Arabidopsis thaliana: one gene and its partners. The main gene of each other region encodes a partner of the protein of the gene in region 2 in a complex. Each region holds a gene or a part of one and is shown on either strand. Other genes may lie near its edges. The genes, in order: NdhS, PnsB1, NdhT and PnsL1.

Region 1 (4,653 bases), on a different chromosome or scaffold from region 2:
TCCATTTGATAACCTTTCTTCTGGTTCAGACTTGCAATCAAGGCGCAAAACCGACAACCACGAATCAACCTAAAACCATACAAAACCGCGAAATCATTGCGTTCAAATGCTGTGGGATCTCTCAACAACAATCTGTGTGTAAAGATGTATATGTATTTGGTTCACCTGTGTTTTAGAGGTGCTTGAGCACTCAAATCTTAGACCTTGACGGGTTAATATGTAAAAGCAATAATGGGTTTCATCGAATTCTCTCGTGTAGCTTGGTACCGAACCAATTTCAACAATATCTGCTAGCAATGTCGAATCTTGAGGGCTCAAGTCTGCAATAGAGAATTTCAAGAGACATTACAAGAAGAATACAAATTTGAAACAGGATTGTAAAAGCTGAACCTTAACTCACCTGTTGACAATAAATAGAAGAAAAGACAAGGGCCTTGAAGGACGACAAACCGAGGAAGCCAGTCGTCTACTTCTGTATCATCTATTGGTGGTGGTTCACCCGGAAGAGCTGCCCAACGCTAAAGTCAAACAAAAAAATAAGGCAAATTTGTAAAACATCCTAGTGGATCAATAATGATAAGTAATTCAGAGTAAGGCCCTACACTTCTGATAAACAAATAACCAGATAAACGGGCAGAGCGCAAGACTTCATCCACATGTTCCAACCTATGTAGCAGTTCAGCAAGAAGAAATTGAGATATGCGCTTTTAATCTGAGAATGGAACAAATTTGAGTATATGACTTACTGGGCTTTGAGGTAAGCTTCTCTTTCTTCCATATCAGAAAGTTCTGATCTAAGTGATTCTAACTCCGCTGCTGATAGCTCGACCTGCCAATGAGAGAGTGATCAGGATTCAGGAGAAAACCCTGAAACTTCAATGAGGTGAATCAAAAACAAAGAAGAAAGGTGTGAGAGAATGGAACCTTCTCTTGACCATCTGAAACCCAAGGCAGACGGCGAAGAGTGAACAAATTCAACATAGTTGCTGCTCTTTTCAGGTTTCTGCGAGTCCGTGACTGGCTATAAGGCCTACTCTAAACAAAACCACCCGAAAAAACAATTCATTTCAGCTCAGAATTTCCCTTCTTAGCATATTTATTCGCTAACAATTTACCTCAGAGAACTATCGTCCTTTGGCTGCGAAGATGATGGAGTATCGTGCTGAGAAGATTCTGCTGTGGGACTAGGAGCACTAAAGTGATCAGGTAATATGTTTAGCTTCTTAGGAGTACCATCATCCATGAATTGAAACGACTCCAGAACCTTCCACTAGAAAATGAATCAAAGCTTAGCCAGAGATGAAACTACTCTAAAACTCTCAGCTTGTAGTACATTGATTCCCCAAAAGAAGTCGAAAAAATCACATAGTTAAAAACTTTTTTGTCCATTCAAGAGATGTCATCTGAGCATGATCTAATCTAGATTCTGATATGAGACAAACTCCTATATGAACTTTAGCATTCCATGAACATTATTTAATCTCCCTAAATGACTTGTCTCTCAGTCTCTATCTTATGCTTATTCTTATCATAGATCTAATCCACAAGTATGTATGTATCATCACTTGGAGAGATATATAACTACTAAAAATCCTTATTCCTCACTGAGGATCAAACATACCTCTTTATATATCTTTCAACGCCGAATTTTACAATCCCACTTCACCAGAAATTTTGATATCCCTTGTGAGAAATCAGCTCGCTGTAAAAGAAAAACAAAGTTCAGCTTCTACAAAAAGAAAGAGGACGAAAATGAACTCTTTCTTTTTCCCATTCTAGATTTTATTAGCTCAAATTAAAAACAACAGAATCGAATTTTCTGGAAACCCTAACAAAATACAAAAACATTGAGCAGAAATAGAAGCTCGGAAGTCGGAATCGAATGACGGGAACCTCGAATAATTTGAAAAAATTGACTGAAGAGAAGATCGAGACCTTGTTTTTACCTGATCGAATGTGATCTCTGTATTCAAGGGAAAGTGTTTACGCAATTGGTTTTTTGGTTGAGTGCTTACTGCTTCAGCAGGAAGAAGATGTTGGGTTTGGGAATTTTACTCATAAAGAAACTTTAAATTTGGTACCAAAAAGACGCTTTTATCCCCCGGTTAGGTTGCGTCAGCCAGCTCTACCCACATGGGCATTGCTGCAGATATTACAAGTTTTGTAATTTGTTAACGAATGTTTGTAAACTTTTGACTAATCTTATCTACAATATAATGAATTTATCGAATCAATGTAAAAGTTGTTTTCATTCATGCTTAATACATTAATTGATCAAAGTTGCCAACTAAGTATTTGGTGATGCCGATGAGTGTAAAGGACAGCCTAAGACAAAAGTGTATGTCTAATTATGATTTGGGAGTATGGGATTCCAATTATTAATGTCGTTGACCCAAATGATTTATCTTCTTCTTGCTGCTTTTTTCTTAATAAACAAACAAATCCACATTATTAGCATTTAGCAATATGTTTAATTACATTACCATTGTTTTTAATCTAGGCCCATATCTCTTAAGAATATTCAAACTTGGTCCAGGTTAAACTTATGACAAAGCCCAAATGTTCCTACTCTTTCTCCTAAATCATTATTCCAAACACCGGTTACGCATTAACCGGTTCAGGTCCACTGGTAATTTGGAAATAGATAGAACTCATCTAACTGAAATCATGATATGTGGTCATTATAACAAGCGAATCAATCACACGCTTCTTCCTTCCTCTTCCATCTTCTTCATATCTCCCTTAGTCACCTCTACTCTACTCTGCAGGCAAAAATAGTTATGGCGACTTCTTCGATCACTATCCCGACCATTAGAACTCCGATTCATCGATCAAAATTTCTAGGCCAAACACATCAATTTTCAACTGTAAACCGGTCGGTTTTCCCGCCTCCAAAACAGCAGTCAAAACTGTATCAAGTAAAGGCCATGGGTAAATTCAATCTATGGGAAGTGATGGGAGGAAGAGGATTATGCAACGGAGAGAAAGGTATTGAGAAGGAGCTCCAGAGGAACATTGAAGACGAGCAAGAGACATCAAAGGCTGAGAACAACGAGACAGAGAGAGAGAGCGATGACAGTAACTTGTCTTTTAAAGTACCTGAAGATGGTTTCGAGAAAGAGATGATGGGTCTCACAGGAGGATTTCCCGGTGGCGAAAAGGGTTTAAAAACGTTTATCGAAAAAAATCCACCACCTCCTCCACCACCACCACCTGCAAAACAAGGAAGCGATGCATCCGCGGTTGCTACAGATAAGAAGCCGAAAGCGCCCAAGCTACCCCTTCTCATGCCGGGGATGATTGCTATAGTCAAGAACCAGAACAGTCCGTATCACATGTATTGTGGAATTGTGCAGAGGATCACTGATGGAAAAGCTGGTGTCTTGTTCGAAGGAGGAAACTGGGACCGTCTCATTACTTTCAGGCTTGAAGAGCTTGAACGAAGAGAAAAAGGTCCACCGGGTAAGAATCCAAAGTCTTGTATTCTCGAGCCTCTTATCGAACAGATGCAAAAGGAAGAGGCAGCACCATAAGTGATCTTCTCTTCTCTGTATGTAAGTTCCTGTGAATGTATATGTAACGTACCTTTGCGTTTTAGGCTACAATATTTCTGACTGGTTCTAAAAGAGCTTCATCATGTGATATAAAAAAAAGAATAAACGATGAATTTCAATCATAAAGCACTTAATAATAGAGATTCAAATGCACTCAATCAATGATGAATCAGTATAGAAGTTAAAAACTGCAATGGAGTAGTTTTATTGTTATCATTGGTTGTTGTAAACATCAACCATATCAGTTTCTTCTTGACTATCGAGTATATTCTGTAAATGGTAAAGATGAGAAGTGATCCACCATTCTTGTCAACAGATCATGTTGAAATGATCAGATGCAGCCTCCCAACTGTAAAAAAAATTCAGAAAAGGATAAGGAAGTTAGAAACAGAACAATATTATTAAATCATGAAAAGGGTTCTCTCAACTTGTAATTGGTCACATAATTATAACTTAGTAGTTGGTCACACATTATACTGTTAGATACATGTTCATCTAAGTGTTGTTATACATGTCAAAATGAAGTTACATACCAAAATGGCTTCCATTTCTTCGTTTGAAACTGGCGTGCGCTTTGGCTGCGATGATGCCTTCCCGCCAGTAGTCTTTTGGATGTTGTTCAAATTGGAGAAGAACAATGTATCAGCTTCATTTGCCACCTGACTCTTTCCCTCTGAAGCTGCAATGCCAGAAAGTAAATCGCATAACAAACAGATGATTACCCAAACCAAAAGCTAAAAAACATAAGAGCTTCTCTATAATGATTCGAGATTTGATAACAAACACGATTCGATTCAATGGCTAAACAAATCTGTGTATCCTTTGAATCTAACTATGTAAATGCAAATCAATCAGAGCGAAATAGATCGGAAAGCAAAAATTCACAGCCAAATGAATACAATCTCATATCTGATTCATGAAAATGAAACCGTACACAAAAAAAATTCGAATCAAGCGAGAAAAAGCCGAGCAAAATTGTGGAAAAAATAACATAGATTCTGTGTAGAGAGTTTCATGGATAATCGAAAACCTGAAGGATTAATATGTCTCTGAGGGAATTTGATGCGAGGAATCCTCTTCAAACCGTGAACTACGTTCA
Region 2 (5,761 bases):
ATTGGTTCAACCGATAGCTTGTGCAGAGTACTCTTGACATCTTTGGTGTTTTCATGAACAGCACGTTAGGTCAAGGGCTGCAGACAAGTACATTTCCAGGAGAGGTTTTGTTTTCCATTGCGATTGCTATAGCTGGGCTTCTTCTTTTCGCGCTTCTCATCGGGAATATGCAGACTTATCTTCAGTCACTTACTGTTCGTCTCGAGGAAATGAGGATCAAAAGACGTGACTCAGAACAGTGGATGCATCACAGGTCACTTCCACAAAATTTGAGGGAAAGAGTCAGACGCTATGATCAATACAAATGGTTAGAGACAAGAGGTGTAGACGAAGAAAACATAGTTCAGAGTTTACCTAAGGATCTCAGAAGAGACATCAAACGCCATCTCTGTCTGAATTTAGTTAGGAGGGTAAGTTTTCACAATCAGAATGCTAAAATTGCTTGAGATACTAACTAACTATGTGTTCTGTTTCTACAGGTTCCTCTGTTTGCTAATATGGATGAAAGATTACTTGACGCAATCTGTGAGAGATTAAAGCCGAGTCTTTTCACGGAAAGCACTTACATTGTGCGTGAAGGAGACCCCGTTAACGAAATGATGTTCATAATCCGAGGCCGGTTAGAAAGTGTAACAACAGATGGGGGAAGAAGCGGTTTCTTCAACAGAGGGTTGTTAAAAGAAGGAGACTTTTGTGGTGAAGAGCTTCTGACATGGGCTCTTGACCCTAAAGCAGGCTCAAACTTACCTTCTTCCACAAGAACAGTGAAGGCTCTGACTGAAGTAGAGGCTTTCGCTCTTGAAGCTGAAGAGCTGAAGTTTGTAGCAAGTCAGTTTAGGAGACTTCATAGTCGACAGGTTCAACAAACATTTAGGTTTTACTCTCAGCAATGGAGAACTTGGGCTTCTTGCTTCATCCAAGCTGCTTGGCGTCGCTATTCAAGAAGGAAAAACGCTGAATTGAGACGGATTGAAGAAAAAGAAGAAGAATTGGGTTATGAAGATGAATATGATGATGAGAGTGACAAGAGGCCTATGGTTATCACAAGAAGTGAGTCTTCTTCTAGACTGCGTTCAACGATATTTGCATCAAGATTTGCTGCTAATGCATTGAAAGGGCACAGACTTAGGAGCTCAGAGAGTTCAAAGACCTTGATAAATCTGCAAAAGCCTCCGGAACCTGATTTTGATGCTGAATAATCCAATTCTTGATGAGAGGCCAACATCAGAACAGAGACTACATAACTGATTTATACACATAAATGCTCTATATATAGAACTTGTTTCAGAAACTGTAAAGTTATCTACACGAGAGCCAATGATCCTTCAAAGACCTGCATTGCATTTTTAACAGTTCCAATGTCGATATCTGCTAGTTTTCCAGTCTTCGAAGCAATAATTACACAGTTACTCTTCTCTTCTGCATACGGTACAAAGAGCTTCCCTTTCTCTTCTGAAGAGAACAACCCAATACTGGAAGAAAAAGAAGCACACACATGTTAGTTCTTGAAAACATTGAATCAGTACTCTTTATATTACTCAGGTATTCACCATGGTTTGTCTCGCGCATTAGCTAGTTGAATCGCAGCTGTGTTTGTTGCGATGACTCCAGCAGAATCGTTTATCAGAGCAGCCAACTAAGTAAGCTCAAGAAAAGGAATCAAAGTAAGATCAGTGAATTCAACTTTGTTCATAACAAATACAGACAGATAAGCATGCATACCTGTCCTGGTGTTGTGATGAACACTATAGATGTATCATCACCCACAAAATCTTCAACGTTTTCTCTTTCTTTCTCATGTGGAATCACAAAGACCGGCTTGAATCCCCTGGCATTGTTCACAATCATATCTCAGAGAATTTCAAACTAAGCAAAAAATTCACATTTTGAAGGTGTGTAATAATTACCTTACACCCTTTATAATCTTAGCCCATTTTTCAAGTGAAAGTAAACTATCAGCATCTCCTTTTGATTGCATTGATGCCTTAGAATCTGATTCAATACCATGAATCACTATAAACTTCCCCGTCACTGCTCCAGCATTCCTATACTTTGCAGCCACAACCTCTTTCACTTTCCGTGAAATCGATACCCTAAGTGGCAACAGAGGAGTCCTTGGAACACTCCTAAACGGTCTTCCTAACCAATCTTCCATCTGAGTATACCTGAAACCATCAACAGTCAATTTAGACAGGCGATAAAAAAACCTGCAGTTTCTTCGGTTTCAAGGAACTCACATGCTATAACCTAATTCTGAAAGGTTGGTATTTTCTGCTGTAAAGGTCTCGGACAGCATCAGACCAGCTCCTGCAGAGTTAACATTCGGGTAAATGTAACTAACCCTGTCTCGAGCCGTTGTCATGAACAAGAACGCTGCGTGGCCTAACCCTGCTAGCTTCGTGGACAGAACCATGTCATAGTACCTTCCCTGAAACATGACTTAAAAGAAAAGTTAACTAAGCAGTCTGATAAAGGAAAGATAGAAAAAACGTTGAAATATTTGAAAGTTACAAACTTTGAGGAGTCCGATCATGTCTGTGTATTCAGCTGGTTCAGGCCAATGATCATCCGGATCATACACATTGGCCCATCTCACGTTTTTGTTTAGCTCGTATGTTTGTTTTCCTCTTTCAGTCGTTAATATATCTACCTGAACACCAGGATACCTTACAAAACAACAGAAACGTACGGACAATGTTCTGCATTTCAGTTTAAGGTTTTAAAAAAATGTCGAATCGGAGACAGAGTCTTATACTTTTATTACCTGTCTTTGATTAGCTGAATAGTCGGGAAAAAGAGTAGATTCTCGTAAACGCCACCGGAGATAACGCAGCAACATCGTCTAACATCTCCTCTGATTTTCAACGGTAAAGAAGCAAGCTCGACGGTGTAACCCTTTGGAAACTTCAAGAAGCCGTAAGGGTTATCAGGATTATCCGGTGGTCTTGGATCCTCGTCTTGTTTTCCGTCGGCAAACAAGGACCCGTATTCGTTATCCGGGTCTTCACCGCTATCAAACGGGTCGAGCCACGGATTATTCTTCTTCTTGAGATTGACCGATACATCGGAAGATCTCGACGTAAGACGAGTTTGAAAGTTGAGGAAGACGAGTGGTTTGGAGGTAGAAAACGGCGGCGTTTTAAAGAATGGGGAAATGGGTTTGGGTAACAGAGGAAGTGAAGAAGCCATTGGAAGGTTTTTTTGAGCCAAAGAAAGAAAAGTTTGGATTTTTAAATGTTGTGAAAGAAAACAGATCTCTGTAGGAACTTAGGATAAGTGGGTCCCTTTTGTGGCAATTTTCCGACCATAGAAGAAAACTTAGCATTTAATTTATTTATTTTGGTTATGGCAATTCCAGAAATTATTCTCTGTTCGATTAATTAAAACTTTTGTCTTTACATTGGTTGATACGCACGAGCAAAGAAACATTCCTAATCTCAGAACTCAGAAGCATTAACCAACTGATTACAGTAAGCAATTAAACCATTTAACTTGTCGGGTCGAGCAATAAGGACCCGTTTCATTGTCGGGTCGAGGAACAAAAGAACAGAAAAAGCAGAAGAACCAAACGATGACGTGTTAAGTCGTGACTGGTGAATGACCTTTTCTCCTCGTCTCTCTCTCTCGATTTGATTCGTTTCGTCGTCGATCAGAAAAAGCTTCTTTCTTTCTTTTTTTTTTCTGGGTTTTTCTGAAGTCAAAAGCTTTTTTTTTCTTCATTGTTCAAAGATTTTATTTTGTTGCTCATTGTTTCTAACCTTGCTTTTCTCGTGAACACAGCAAGCAACTTGGTTTAGTTTTACTAGAAGATTCCTAAAAATGAGATATTTAGCGGTGACAAAAAAGTTTCATTTTTGGTGCTAATGTAGCTGTAAAGTCTAGGCCTTCCGATATATAATCTCTTGAAATAAGTTTCGAGACTGTTGGAAATAGCAATTTTGTTGTTGTTGTGTGATCCAGTGATAGATCTGTGAAATCAAAAAGCAGTTTTTTGTGAGAATCGGGTCAATGTCGGTTCCTCCTAGATTCCGGTCCGTAAATTCCGATGAGCGAGAGTTCCGATCAGTTCTTGGTCCTACCGGGAACAAGCTGCAGAGGAAACCACCGGGGATGAAACTGGAGAAGCCGATGATGGAGAAGACCATCATCGACTCAAAAGATGAGAAAGCGAAGAAACCAACTACTCCGGCTTCACCAAGGACGACTCTGAAGCAATGCTCGTCTCTTTGCTCTTCGATTTTGAGAAAGAATAGTGCTTCAATGACTGCTTCGTATTCCTCTGATGCTTCGTCTTCGTGTGAGTCATCGCCTTTGAGCGTGGCGTCTTCTTCGAGCTGTAAGAAGGTTGTGAGGCGAAGTGGGTCTGTCTCTTCTACAAGGAAGCTGAGTGTTGGGAAAGAAGAAGAGAAGGTTTCTGGTGATTGCTTCGCTGATGGTCGTAAAAGGTGTGCTTGGATCACACCTAAAGCTGGTAAGCATCAAACTTTCACCTATCACACATTGCATAGTGAGAGAGCTTTTGACTTTAGATGCATTCAAATAAATGAAATGAGTGAAAATGTGAATGTGAGATTGAGTTTAGCCTGATTGTGTGAGATGATAAAGTTCTTATCTAGTTGAATCAAATGGGACTGAATTGAGACAAGGAGCTAGTGTTTTTTGTTTGATCTAATTATGTTCTTCTGTATGTGAATATTAAGTAATTCAATGGCCAACAAAATGTTTCAATTGCTATGTATTTTATTCAGTGAGCATTGTGTAGATCATTTGCTATGTTGCATAACTTATGAAGTAGCTTGTCCTGAAGTTCTCTTATAAATATTTTAACTTCTCAGTGTCCATGAAATTTAGATGAAGGATGTTTTGATTAGCTGATAGATCCACTTCGTTTATGCTTTTAGTGTAAGCCAAACAGCGTTTTCTGGATTCTCTATACTAATGAGCATAAATGTTTCCATGCCAAGAGGCACTTTCCATTATTCTTTGTTGTTCTCTCATGCTTCATATCTTTCTCTGCTGTAAATTGACTAATAATGTTGCGTTTTTCTACGTTGTAAAGACCCGTGCTATGTTGCTTTCCATGACGAAGAATGGGGAGTTCCTGTACATGACGACAAGTATGTGGCATCCTCAACTATTTTCCTTCTATCTGAGATACACTTTGTAGTTATAAGAGTCTCTTACCGCTTGGTTAACTTGTGTAGGAAGCTTTTTGAGTTATTATGCCTCTCTGGTGCTCTAGCCGAACTCTCATGGACCGACATTCTCTCCAGAAGACATATACTCAGGTAACCAAACCAAGTTCTTTAGTAATATGAATTTTGAATTCGCAATATAAACTTCTGATGCTAAGCCAGTAGCTCTGATCTCTGATTGCCTAATTTGCTTCTTATTTGAAACAGGGAAGTTTTTATGGACTTCGATCCAGTCGCTGTAGCTGAATTGAATGACAAAAAGTTAACAGCGCCAGGTACTGCTGCCATTTCCTTACTATCAGAGGTCAAGATACGATCAATCCTCGATAACTCACGCCATGTGCGCAAGGTAACAGAACATAAGCTCACACTTACTGATCATAATTACTGAAAACTTAGAACTTGTCTAAATATTATAATCTGTCTGCCTGTTAATTCTTAACTTCATCCAGATTATAGCTGAATGTGGATCATTGAAGAAGTACATGTGGAACTTTGTGAACAACAAGCCTACACAGAGCCAATTCAGGTATCAGCGCCAAGTCCCTGTGAAGACATCGAAAGCT
Region 3 (4,848 bases), on a different chromosome or scaffold from region 2:
ACAAGATCTAGATACAACAGAAATATTGTGATGAATAAAATTGAGAGACAAATTTAATTGAAAGTTACATGTAAAGAATCTGTGCAGGTTGTCAAAGAAAGTGAGAGAGTGACAAAAGCGCTTCATCTTCGGGAAGATAATAATATATGGTTAAAGCGCACAGATTTCAAGGAAGGAGAGATAAAATAGAGAAGAAATGGAGAGGGACAAAATCGATATTTCAGTATGAAATATGACATGAGTTGTAAGGCCCAGCAAATTATGGCAGATTGCATAAGGATTGGAAAAAATATGGCATATGTTGTAATTTTTTCCTTTTTAAAAATAATCTAAATAATTCTATAATCAATATGTGAACGATATTATACTTTACAGATCTTTTTGTAACTTCACCTTAATTATGATAGACCTTGCAAACAAATAAATGCAACAAAAAATAGACACTAAAAAATCTCAACAACAATCTTTAAATTATAAAAAATCACATAAATATCTTCGGGATTCAAATTTTAATAATTATTTAAACGGATTTTCTAATTTATATCAAAACCAAATATATTGAATATAAAATATACAAATAGGAAATACATTAATTTAAAAGATACAAAATATTTAACAAGAAATTGTGTTATTTTTTGTTCAAAGAATTCGATATAAAATCTTCGAAACGATCCGATATTGATTCTTATTAGATTGAAATTGTTAAAATTTCAATATATTATACAATTTTTCTTTTTAAATTGAAATTGTAAACCGACTCGAAGTATATTAAATAAAAATATTATTAAAAAGAAAAAGAACAATTTGATTTTTAGTTATCACGGGACGGATTTATATGGCGGGACGGGTTTACAGGAGACGAGTTTACATGGTAGGACGGGTTTGGATGAGACGAGATTATATGGTGCTATGAGTTTAGATGGGAAAAATTTGGATACCACGGGTGTACTCCTAGAATTAACAATCAAATTACAACTATACAATAGTAAACAAAACAAACAATAATAACATAACAAATACAATTTTAATTTCAAATTTTTAGTTACAAAAAAATAAATAAAATCAACATTTTAGTATAAGTGTTAATCTTCTTTGACACCTCTAAATGTTATTCTTCTTTGATACATTTAAATGTGTAATTTTAATATAAAGTTACTAAACTACATATGTTCCATGGATTAAATTTGAAAACACCAAAAGTTTATATTAAATAATTTTTTTATAACAAATTATGAATAAAATAAAATATTATCCCGTGGTATGGTCTATCACAAGTCAAATCCTAAAAGATAAAATAACATATATTAGACTTATTAATATCATAATTGTGACTCAATAAAAAACATACACAACCTTATCGATAATTATTAATCATCACAAACAACAACAAACAACAAATTATATTTTGTGATAAAGAAAAATAAATAAATAAATTTAATTTACGGTATATCGCGGGTCATATCCTAATTATGATACAATTGTCTATTTTTACCCTATATATATTACAAACGCACACATTTGTTGCATAACATATTTAGACATCGCTTCCAAAGAAAGAAATCATTTATCTCTACATTATTTCTTCCTCTCATTGCCCCTCTCTTCTCAACGTTTTGTCTCTTATATCTTTACGTTTCATACTTTTTTTTTGTTGACATTTAATTATTTAAATTTTTTGTTCCTATGGACACTAGATAGGACAACAAAAGATATAAAGAAAATCTACACCACACATATCATGAGGTTCTGGAACAAGTTTCTGCGGTAAGAGAAACCAAAAACATGAAGGGCAGAAAAAAAAAGAACAAACCATCTTCAACACAGAGCCATGGCTTATGCAACTTCTACCTATGCACGAACCTCATGCATTATCCTACCCAAAATCCAAAACGGCGCGCATTTCACGGATGACACGAAAGCATTTAGAAGGATAACAGCAAGAAGAGTGACGCGTATATACGCGTCACAAGGCCCGACTAAACCGTCAAAACCATCTCCAGGAGTAGACACAAGAATCCACTGGGAAAGCCCGGACGAAGGCTGGATCGGAGGAAGATCCGACCCGGCCAAATCGGTTGATGAGGACAAAACCAATCTCCTTAGTGACGAAAAATTTGCAGAACTAATCAAAGACTCTTTTGATTCTCATTACCAGTGAGCAAAACAAACATTCTCATTACATATCTTTTTATTTTTATTTTTCAATATGTATTGTAACATGTAACAATAATCATTTTCAGATTCTTAGGTGTTTCAACGGATGCTGATCTAGAAGAGATAAAATCTGCGTACCGGAGATTATCTAAAGAGTATCATCCAGATACAACTTCACTACCACTTAAAACAGCTTCAGAAAAGTTCATGAAATTAAGAGAAGTGTACAATGTTTTGAGCGATGAAGAGACTCGGAGGTTTTATGACTGGACACTGGCTCAAGAAGTTGCGAGTCGTCAAGCTGAGAAAATGAGAATGAAGCTAGAGGATCCGAAAGAGCAAGATTTTAGGGGCTATGAATCAATACCTGATATGGTTGACCGGTTAGGTGGAAGAAACATGGAGCTTAGTGATCAAGCAATGACTGCTCTCACGTTCGATATTTTGATCGTATTATTCGCTGTTTGTTGTATAGCTTTTGTGATTGTTTTCAAAGATCCTTCTTACTAGGTAAGGAGCTTTGTATATACTTGGAAAATTCATATAGTTTATATGTAGATGGAAGATTAACAATTACAGATTATAAGATCATTTGAACTAAAATAAAGTGGTCTAGTGGTTCTGTTCCTCACCTTTTTTGTGTGTGTGTTATTTTTGGATTTTTTCTAAGCTATCCAAACATTGTTTTAGAGCTATATTTTGTTATGCTTACCTAGCTAATCCAAATAGTCTCATTTATATAAAACAAAGCGAACAAAATAGTAGTTTTGATAACTAATGCGGAATTCACTAGTTTGGGAAGTATAGTAGGAATAAAAACTAGGGAGATTTGCAAAACTACCCTTTTTTCACTACCTTTTGCAACAATACCCTTTTATCAAGTCTTATATATATGTAGCACCTGACTCAATCCTCCTTAGACGTGTTCCTTAGAACTGTTCGATGCACATTTTGACTACGTTTTTTTTTCTTTTTTTCCTAAGATGTAAATATTTCACTAAAAATGAAAACAGTTTAAGAGTATAATCAAAAGACTATAAATGGTCCCATGACAAAAGAAAAACATGAAGCATAATTTATCAAGCAAACTTCAGTCCATCCGCATAACAAACGCACATAAGCTAATAGAACTAGATGAAGTGATAAAGGATTTTGTTGTTCTTTCAGACTAGTTTGAGTAAATGAAGGGTGATAGCACGTGAAGAAGCCAAAATTGTCTGCACACTAAGCACTATAAGCCTTTCACTGGAAACCCAAATTGAGACGTCAACGGTTAAGTACTAAATGTCGTCGATCACATTTTGATTTGGAACATGGCTTGTGTTGTCATTGTCTCAATGAACTGTTTTAGCGAGGCTTCAATGTGAGCAAATTTCTCATTGACTTCTACTTCTACATGCATCTTCACGAGCTTCTCTTGGACGTCGTCAAAGCTTACTTTAAGTTGATCAAGTGTGTCCTTGTTATTCGTAGTCATTGTACGAATTTTTGTTCTGATACAAAATGAAAAACAAGGATATGGAAATTGATAAGAACAATAGTCTTTTGGTAGAAAAATTATGTGATTATCTTCTTATTTTTATACTTAAATAGGGTATACAACATGGACGTGAATATGGAATCATGGATTCATACAAAAATGGAGATAGGGGAAAGTGGTTCCTACTTCTATGACCACTAGTATTTATTTAGGGGGTGATTGACATTGGACTGTTAAGACTTTAAAAGCATTTGACAGTCCTTACAAGATTAATAATATTTTTAGACTTCAAGTTTCTTTTGTAAAATTCAAGATTAATAATATTTTTAAATATTTTTTTTCTCAAAAATCCATCAAAACTAAAAATTATTTATGATTCGATGATTTATTTTTGGTTTAGACCCTGAATGGATGCTGATTTTCGATTCAGTTTTTGGATTTAGATTTTAGTTTCTAGATTTTAGATTTTAGTTTTAGATTTTTGTTATTATATTTTTGTTTTAAAAACCCCAAAAAATTGGTTTTTAGTTTTTGAGAAAAATAACGTTGATGGAGTAAAAACTAGATTCCCTAAGTTTTAGGAAAACTATAAAATTAAAATCATGAATCAAAAACTACAACAAAATAGTTTTTCTAAATTGTAGGGAAACCAAAATTTTATAATCTTGATTGGTATAAAAATAAGTTTTTGAAAAACAAAATCTAAAAACTCTTACAAAATCTACAAAACATTCAAGGCCTTAGTCTATTGTATTCTATTTTGGTTTCAATGGATGCAATGAAAAAAGCACACTAAATCGCTAACAGACAAAACCACTTTATTTTTAGAGCGGACGATAAATCGCATGCGGATAAAAAAAATTCTACGTAAAAGTTATCTGTAGTTAGTACACCGCAAACTTTTTTTTTTTTTAATTCGCACTACTGCGGATTATAGTTTATGAATGATAAACAAAAGGGTGAATGAAATATCTATACATGGAAGAATATATAATTAAGGATCTACACATATCATTTAGTTATTTAGGTGGAAATTTTCTTGTAAATTAAATATGACATAATTGCCCCTATACAAACAAAGAATCAGTAGCCTTCTTCCGCGAGATATATTGTACCTATAAGAAAGAGACACAAAGCATTTAAGTCTTAGGTGTGTACCTATATATATATATATATATATATATATAGCTCCTTATCATTTTTTTGAAAAAAAC
Region 4 (5,297 bases), on a different chromosome or scaffold from region 2:
TTAGATACAACCGACCCAAGATATAGAAGAACCTTTGAAAAATGGTAGAAGCCAGTTCAGCTAAAGCTTTCTTCTTCACAATTATCGTAAAATATTAGACATGTAGAGCAGGCTTGTTGTTCTCTTATTGTCAAGCGTAAGTAAATGATTATTGTTTAGTTTCGTGACCAATTGGTTTGTTTTTTGGTTAGCCATTGTTCGATTTGCTTTGGTTTGGTCAAAGATTGTATGCTTTCAAGTCAAACCAAAGCTGACTAAATTTTATTCTGTAATAATTTACTTTGGAATGGCAAAACCAAAGAAAGGTCATAGACACAAGAGAAGAAGCAAATATGTTTCTTACGCCAAAAGACACGTTTGTATGGTAAGACAAAAGACACGTTTGTATGTTTCTTACGCCAATACCATTACGTTAAAAATAAACTAGTAACTTAAATTTACGCTCACTTTCTATTTGGGTTTTACATGATGATTTTGGTCAAAGGCCTATTTACAATGTTGCAAGCCCATATTATCTTTTAAGTATCTTTTTGTGCAACCAAAAGAATCAGTGATCTTATGCTCATTTTCATTTTTTTCTAATGAAATTTTTCGTCACTTATGGCTTATGCGTCCGATGGACGATTATGGTAAAAGGCCCATTTATTCAATCCAAAGCTTACTGGGTTAGATGATGATTGTGGTAAAAAGGCCCATTATAGACCCAACTAAGTATCTTAGGGTTTCAGTTTCCACTATAAAACTTGTTGCGGCGTAAGTTAGGGTTTTGAGAATCAGCGGCTTCACCTCTCCAGGTTCGTGTCTCGATTTTGCAAACTATCTCTCGAAATCGTCCTACATTTCTTTCTTCAGATTCATTACTGAGCTTCGCTTTCTGGGTTTCTATCTAAAAATTTCACAGATTTCGTGTGTGAAGAATCATTTCAAGCCATGTCTCCGGCTAAAGGTACGATCTTTTCATTGATAACCACTTGAATCTTCACTGGAACATGATGGATTTGGATCTTCTTCTACTAGACTTTAGTTTTGCTGAACCCGCTAGTATCTGGTCTCGATTAATGTTTTCTAATCATGTTTCGTTAGGTGATTAGTTTCAATATCTTCCTGATTAGCTTCAACTAAGTGAGATTAATGTAGTATCCAAATGAATTTTGTCTGTAGACGTGTTTCTGAGTATTCATGTATTGAAGTCAGATTTGTATCAAAGTATTATATGATGCTTAAACTCTCTGTTGTATGTAATTTGCAGTTGATACTACCAAGAAGGCTGATCCTAAGGCCAAGGCCTTGAAGGCGGCAAAGGCTGTGAAGTCTGGTCAAGCCTTCAAGAAGAAGGACAAAAAGATTAGGACCAAGGTCACCTTCCACAGGCCAAAGACTCTTACCAAGCCTAGAACTGGTAAGTACCCAAAAATCAGCGCTACTCCAAGGAACAAGTTGGATCACTACCAAATCCTTAAGTACCCACTCACCACTGAATCTGCGATGAAGAAGATTGAAGACAACAACACTCTTGTTTTCATTGTTGACATTCGTGCTGACAAGAAGAAGATTAAGGATGCTGTTAAGAAGATGTATGACATCCAGACCAAGAAAGTGAACACACTCATCAGGTACTTTAAAGAGTATTTTTCTATGAAGCCTTGTTGTGAGATTGATTATGTTCAATATATTTGACACTATGGTTTGGTTTTGTTACAGGCCTGATGGAACCAAGAAGGCTTACGTGAGGCTTACACCAGACTATGATGCTTTGGATGTTGCTAACAAGATCGGCATCATCTAAGTCTATCTATCTCTGCAGTTATAAAGACTATTGTGGTTTTGTCTCTTGTAGTCTCAGTTTTGCTTTTAAGATATTTATTATTACTATCATCTGGTAATTGTAGTATTTTGGAGCAAAAACGTTTTACAATACATTCATGTTGCAGTTTATTGTTGAATTCAAGTTCTATGTTTTTGACTTATCAAGATTCTCTTTTTAAAACTCACTAACTTATAAACTGTAAACATACAAATGCAGTATCTTCTCTAACCAGTAAATGATCATAAATCGATCTATCACCACATATTGTTTGCATCTTTCATTATCCTTTTATCCACATGTTGATGAATGGAGAAGTCCGAGAAATGACGAAAATCAGAAATTTCTTATCCACATAGAACACTAAGGCAATGTTCATTGATCATCAAAAGTCTTGTGAATTGTAGCCACTATGGCAGTCTCCTCACTCTCAATCCGCTGTGGTGGTTTCTCACCAACAATCTCCCACAAGGTTAATAACACTGTTCTGATTCCAGTCTCCATTTCTGAAAACTAAAAATCATTATTGTTCATTGATTCATATTTCTTACCAGACAGAAATTCTCTGTCCAAATCCATCACTCAAAGCTTGTTGTTTACTTTCATCCGGTGGTAAGGCCGACTCCTCGGAGAGTAGTAAGAAACTAAACTCTTGTGACATTTTCCTTCTCATACGTAATACATTGACTTGTGTGGATTGATTTTTATTAAAATTCAATAGCTTACCAAAAAGGCAGCGGAAACAATTGGAAGAGAAGGCAAGCTCTTGTGGGAGTAGGAACTTTAGTGGCAACTTCAATTCCAGCAACTTTGCTTCTTGCTGAAGGTAATCTGCAAAACTAAGGGTTTTGTTTTTGCCTCTCTTCTTCATTCTTTTGGGACCAAAAGCCTAATATGTTGATTCATATCATGTTTGCAGAGATACCAAAAAGCTACTCGCCTTTTGTGGATCGAGAAGACGGGTATTCTTACTATTACCCATCAGACTGGAGGGTGGGTAATGGCTTTGTTTCCATTTTTGTTGAAAGAATGAAACATAAATGAATTGAGAATATCTCTGTTCTGCCCTTACTACGTAGGAATTTGACTTCAGGGCACATGATTCAGCCTTCAAAGATAGATACTTGCAACTGCAGAATGTGCGGGTCAGGTTCATACCAACGGAGAAAAACGACATCCATGAAGTAGGTCCTATGGAAGAGGTATGTATTACACACCTTACTTTCCCTCTACCATCTATGTCATTAGAGAATTCACATTGGTTCATCATTCTTATATATGTTCATCAGGTGGTTTATGATCTAGTGAAGCATAAGTTTGCAGCACCAAACCAAGTAGCTACCATCTACGATATGAAAGAGGTCAGATGATTGTTAACATCTTAAAGAATCATCAAAGTTGTTGAGAGATTGGATCTTTATAAACAATAAGAGATGAAAATGCAGAGGGTGGAAGATGGAAAGAACTATTACACGTTTGAGTATGGACTAAGAACTCCTATCTATGCAACCACTTCCTTTGCAACAGTGGCAGTTGGAAACAGTAAGCACAGATTATAAGAATTATGAGATAGATGAGAGAAGAAATTGAGGAATAAACAAGTGTTATGACTGATTTGATGTTGCAGACAGATACTACACTCTCATAGTTGGAGCAAATGAGAGAAGGTGGAGGAAAGTGAAAAAGCAGCTTCAAGTTGTGGCCGACTCTTTGAAGATCCTTCAGATTTGACAAACACAAGAAACATCTTACTCCTATATATCTTTCTCTCTCTGTGGTTACAAAACTGTCTGTAGATAACAATTTGATATTTTCATATTCTCTATAACTCCAACGATGGTTTTGGCATTGTGAGTTAGATTCTGAGTTGGTTCAGTAATTCAATCAAACTTGCAAATAAAGTGGAAATAATGTATTTACAAAACAGACATATTTCTTCCTAGCCATTACACACTTCTCCACCTAAATCACTCACAACAACAAAAAAGCAAACCTCAGCAAATAAAATTGCCTCTAATCTTCAGTTTCAATAAACAAATCGATATACCTTAAGAGACCAATCAATGAATAAATAACACAGTCCTACTTCATTGCTTAGCCTCCTGAAAGAATAAGGGAATCTAACGTCTACAAACTCCTAAGTTGCTTACAGAAACTAACCGTGGTTGTACAACTTCTGCTCATCTGCTGTCATCCCGGACCCGATAAGCCTTTGATCAGATGCATGTCCTGTAACTACATCCAATAACGTTATCTCGTGGCATATCACATGATGGTTGGTATGTGACTGAACTAATCTCAATTAGGCACATGAGTCCAATCTCTTTTAGATCAGTTGATGTCGCCGTAGATTCTTGCCAAAATGTGGTTGCATTAAACGGACATACAATCCGTTTTTACCCGCTAAACAATCATGCGTACCTTCCTCTACTATTTTGCCTCCATTGAGAACCACAATGTTATCCACATGTCTCATCATCGCTACTCTATGCGCTATCAGAATTGTTGTTTTGTTCCCCATTATCAATGTATCAAGAGCTTCCTGCACAACACGGCTCGACTCGGATTCGATAGATGAACTCGCTTCGTCAATCAACAGTATTGGAGCATTCTTCAGCACTACCCGAGCTATAGCGATTCTCTGTTTTTGTCCTTGGGTAAGCTCAACACCTCTCATCCCGATATGTGTGTCGTATCCGTGAGGTAAGCTGCTGATGAAATGGTGGGCATTTGCAATCCTTGCTGCTTCCTTCATCTCAGCTTCACTTGCATTGTGCCTTGCGTATATAATGTTTTCTCTGATCGTTGTGGAAAAGATTATGGGTTCCTGTTGAATCAGACCCATATGGCTTCTTAACCATCTCAAATTATATGACTTCAAGTCTCGCCCATCTAATAAGACCTGACCAGCAACTGGGTCGTAGTATCTCTCGATCAACGATATTATTGTGCTCTTTCCAGAACCAGAAACACCAACCACAGCTACTGTTTGTCCGCCATTGACTTTGAGACTGAAGTTGCTTAGTACTAACACTTCCGGGCGGGTTGGGTAGCAGAAGTCGATGTTTTTCAGTTCAATGCTTCCATACACGTTAGGCGGACTAAGAGCCGAGGTATCATCAGGTTCGATTGTAGGAACTCGATCTATTATTTCAAAAACTGAAGCGAGAGATCTACGGCGCTTGAGAATGTAAGGTGCTAATCCGAATGGCTCCACAAGAGCAAATGTAGCAAAGGAGAAGACCATGTACTCGGTTAGAGCTGTAGACAATTTCATATATCTGCGGTCTACTGATAACGCGGTGTACCACAGGAGGAGCGCATTACAGGCGAAGAGAAGAAACTGTGAGAAGCCAAACGCAAAGCCAATAGCCATCCCATGGAAAAAGCTCTGCCTGAGTATCCGTTGGAGTTGCAGTCTGTAGAGTTCCATCACCTTGTTGCCGGCACAGAACGCGACAACAGTATATATGTTTCTGACAGCATCCTCGAG

Evidence for each region.
Region 1: PnsB1 (region 2) and NdhS share a complex: the UniProt entries of both Arabidopsis thaliana proteins name them as parts of the chloroplast NDH complex.
Region 3: PnsB1 (region 2) and NdhT share a complex: the UniProt entries of both Arabidopsis thaliana proteins name them as parts of the chloroplast NDH complex.
Region 4: PnsB1 (region 2) and PnsL1 share a complex: the UniProt entries of both Arabidopsis thaliana proteins name them as parts of the chloroplast NDH complex.

The regions. Positions count from the first base shown.
Region 1 is NC_003075.7:12,419,473-12,424,125, reverse strand, and holds NdhS (NAD(P)H-quinone oxidoreductase subunit S), read left to right. Parts: upstream 1-2,661; 5' UTR 2,662-2,780; coding exon 2,781-3,533; 3' UTR 3,534-3,712; downstream 3,713-4,653. Other genes in the region: AT4G23895 (Pleckstrin homology (PH) domain-containing protein), read right to left, coding at 14-69, 166-320, 401-518, 603-666, 747-829, 925-1,030, 1,116-1,243; AT4G23885 (uncharacterized protein), read right to left, coding at 3,886-3,903, 4,088-4,233, 4,585-4,653. UniProt on the Arabidopsis thaliana protein: NDH shuttles electrons from NAD(P)H:plastoquinone, via FMN and iron-sulfur (Fe-S) centers, to quinones in the photosynthetic chain and possibly in a chloroplast respiratory chain.
Region 2 is NC_003070.9:5,486,742-5,492,502, reverse strand, and holds PnsB1 (NDH-dependent cyclic electron flow 1), read right to left. Parts: upstream 3,359-5,761; 5' UTR 3,190-3,358; coding exon 2,765-3,189; intron 2,667-2,764; coding exon 2,516-2,666; intron 2,429-2,515; coding exon 2,238-2,428; intron 2,166-2,237; coding exon 1,908-2,165; intron 1,829-1,907; coding exon 1,723-1,828; intron 1,637-1,722; coding exon 1,551-1,636; intron 1,473-1,550; coding exon 1,304-1,472; 3' UTR 1,200-1,303; downstream 1-1,199. Other genes in the region: CNGC7 (cyclic nucleotide gated channel 7), read left to right, coding at 62-410, 480-1,199; AT1G15970 (DNA glycosylase superfamily protein), read left to right, coding at 4,009-4,471, 5,060-5,117, 5,205-5,288, 5,403-5,544, 5,648-5,761. UniProt on the Arabidopsis thaliana protein: NDH shuttles electrons from NAD(P)H:plastoquinone, via FMN and iron-sulfur (Fe-S) centers, to quinones in the photosynthetic chain and possibly in a chloroplast respiratory chain.
Region 3 is NC_003075.7:5,929,133-5,933,980, reverse strand, and holds NdhT (Chaperone DnaJ-domain superfamily protein), read left to right. Parts: upstream 1-1,505; 5' UTR 1,506-1,828; coding exon 1,829-2,154; intron 2,155-2,240; coding exon 2,241-2,664; 3' UTR 2,665-2,871; downstream 2,872-4,848. UniProt on the Arabidopsis thaliana protein: NDH shuttles electrons from NAD(P)H:plastoquinone, via FMN and iron-sulfur (Fe-S) centers, to quinones in the photosynthetic chain and possibly in a chloroplast respiratory chain.
Region 4 is NC_003071.7:16,474,119-16,479,415, forward strand, and holds PnsL1 (PsbP-like protein 2), read left to right. Parts: upstream 1-2,079; 5' UTR 2,080-2,216; coding exon 2,217-2,276; intron 2,277-2,358; coding exon 2,359-2,440; intron 2,441-2,525; coding exon 2,526-2,630; intron 2,631-2,723; coding exon 2,724-2,797; intron 2,798-2,883; coding exon 2,884-3,006; intron 3,007-3,093; coding exon 3,094-3,165; intron 3,166-3,249; coding exon 3,250-3,346; intron 3,347-3,431; coding exon 3,432-3,535; 3' UTR 3,536-3,725; downstream 3,726-5,297. Other genes in the region: RPL23AA (ribosomal protein L23AA), read left to right, coding at 931-946, 1,250-1,613, 1,702-1,786; ABCB6 (P-glycoprotein 6), read right to left, coding at 4,131-5,297. UniProt on the Arabidopsis thaliana protein: NDH shuttles electrons from NAD(P)H:plastoquinone, via FMN and iron-sulfur (Fe-S) centers, to quinones in the photosynthetic chain and possibly in a chloroplast respiratory chain.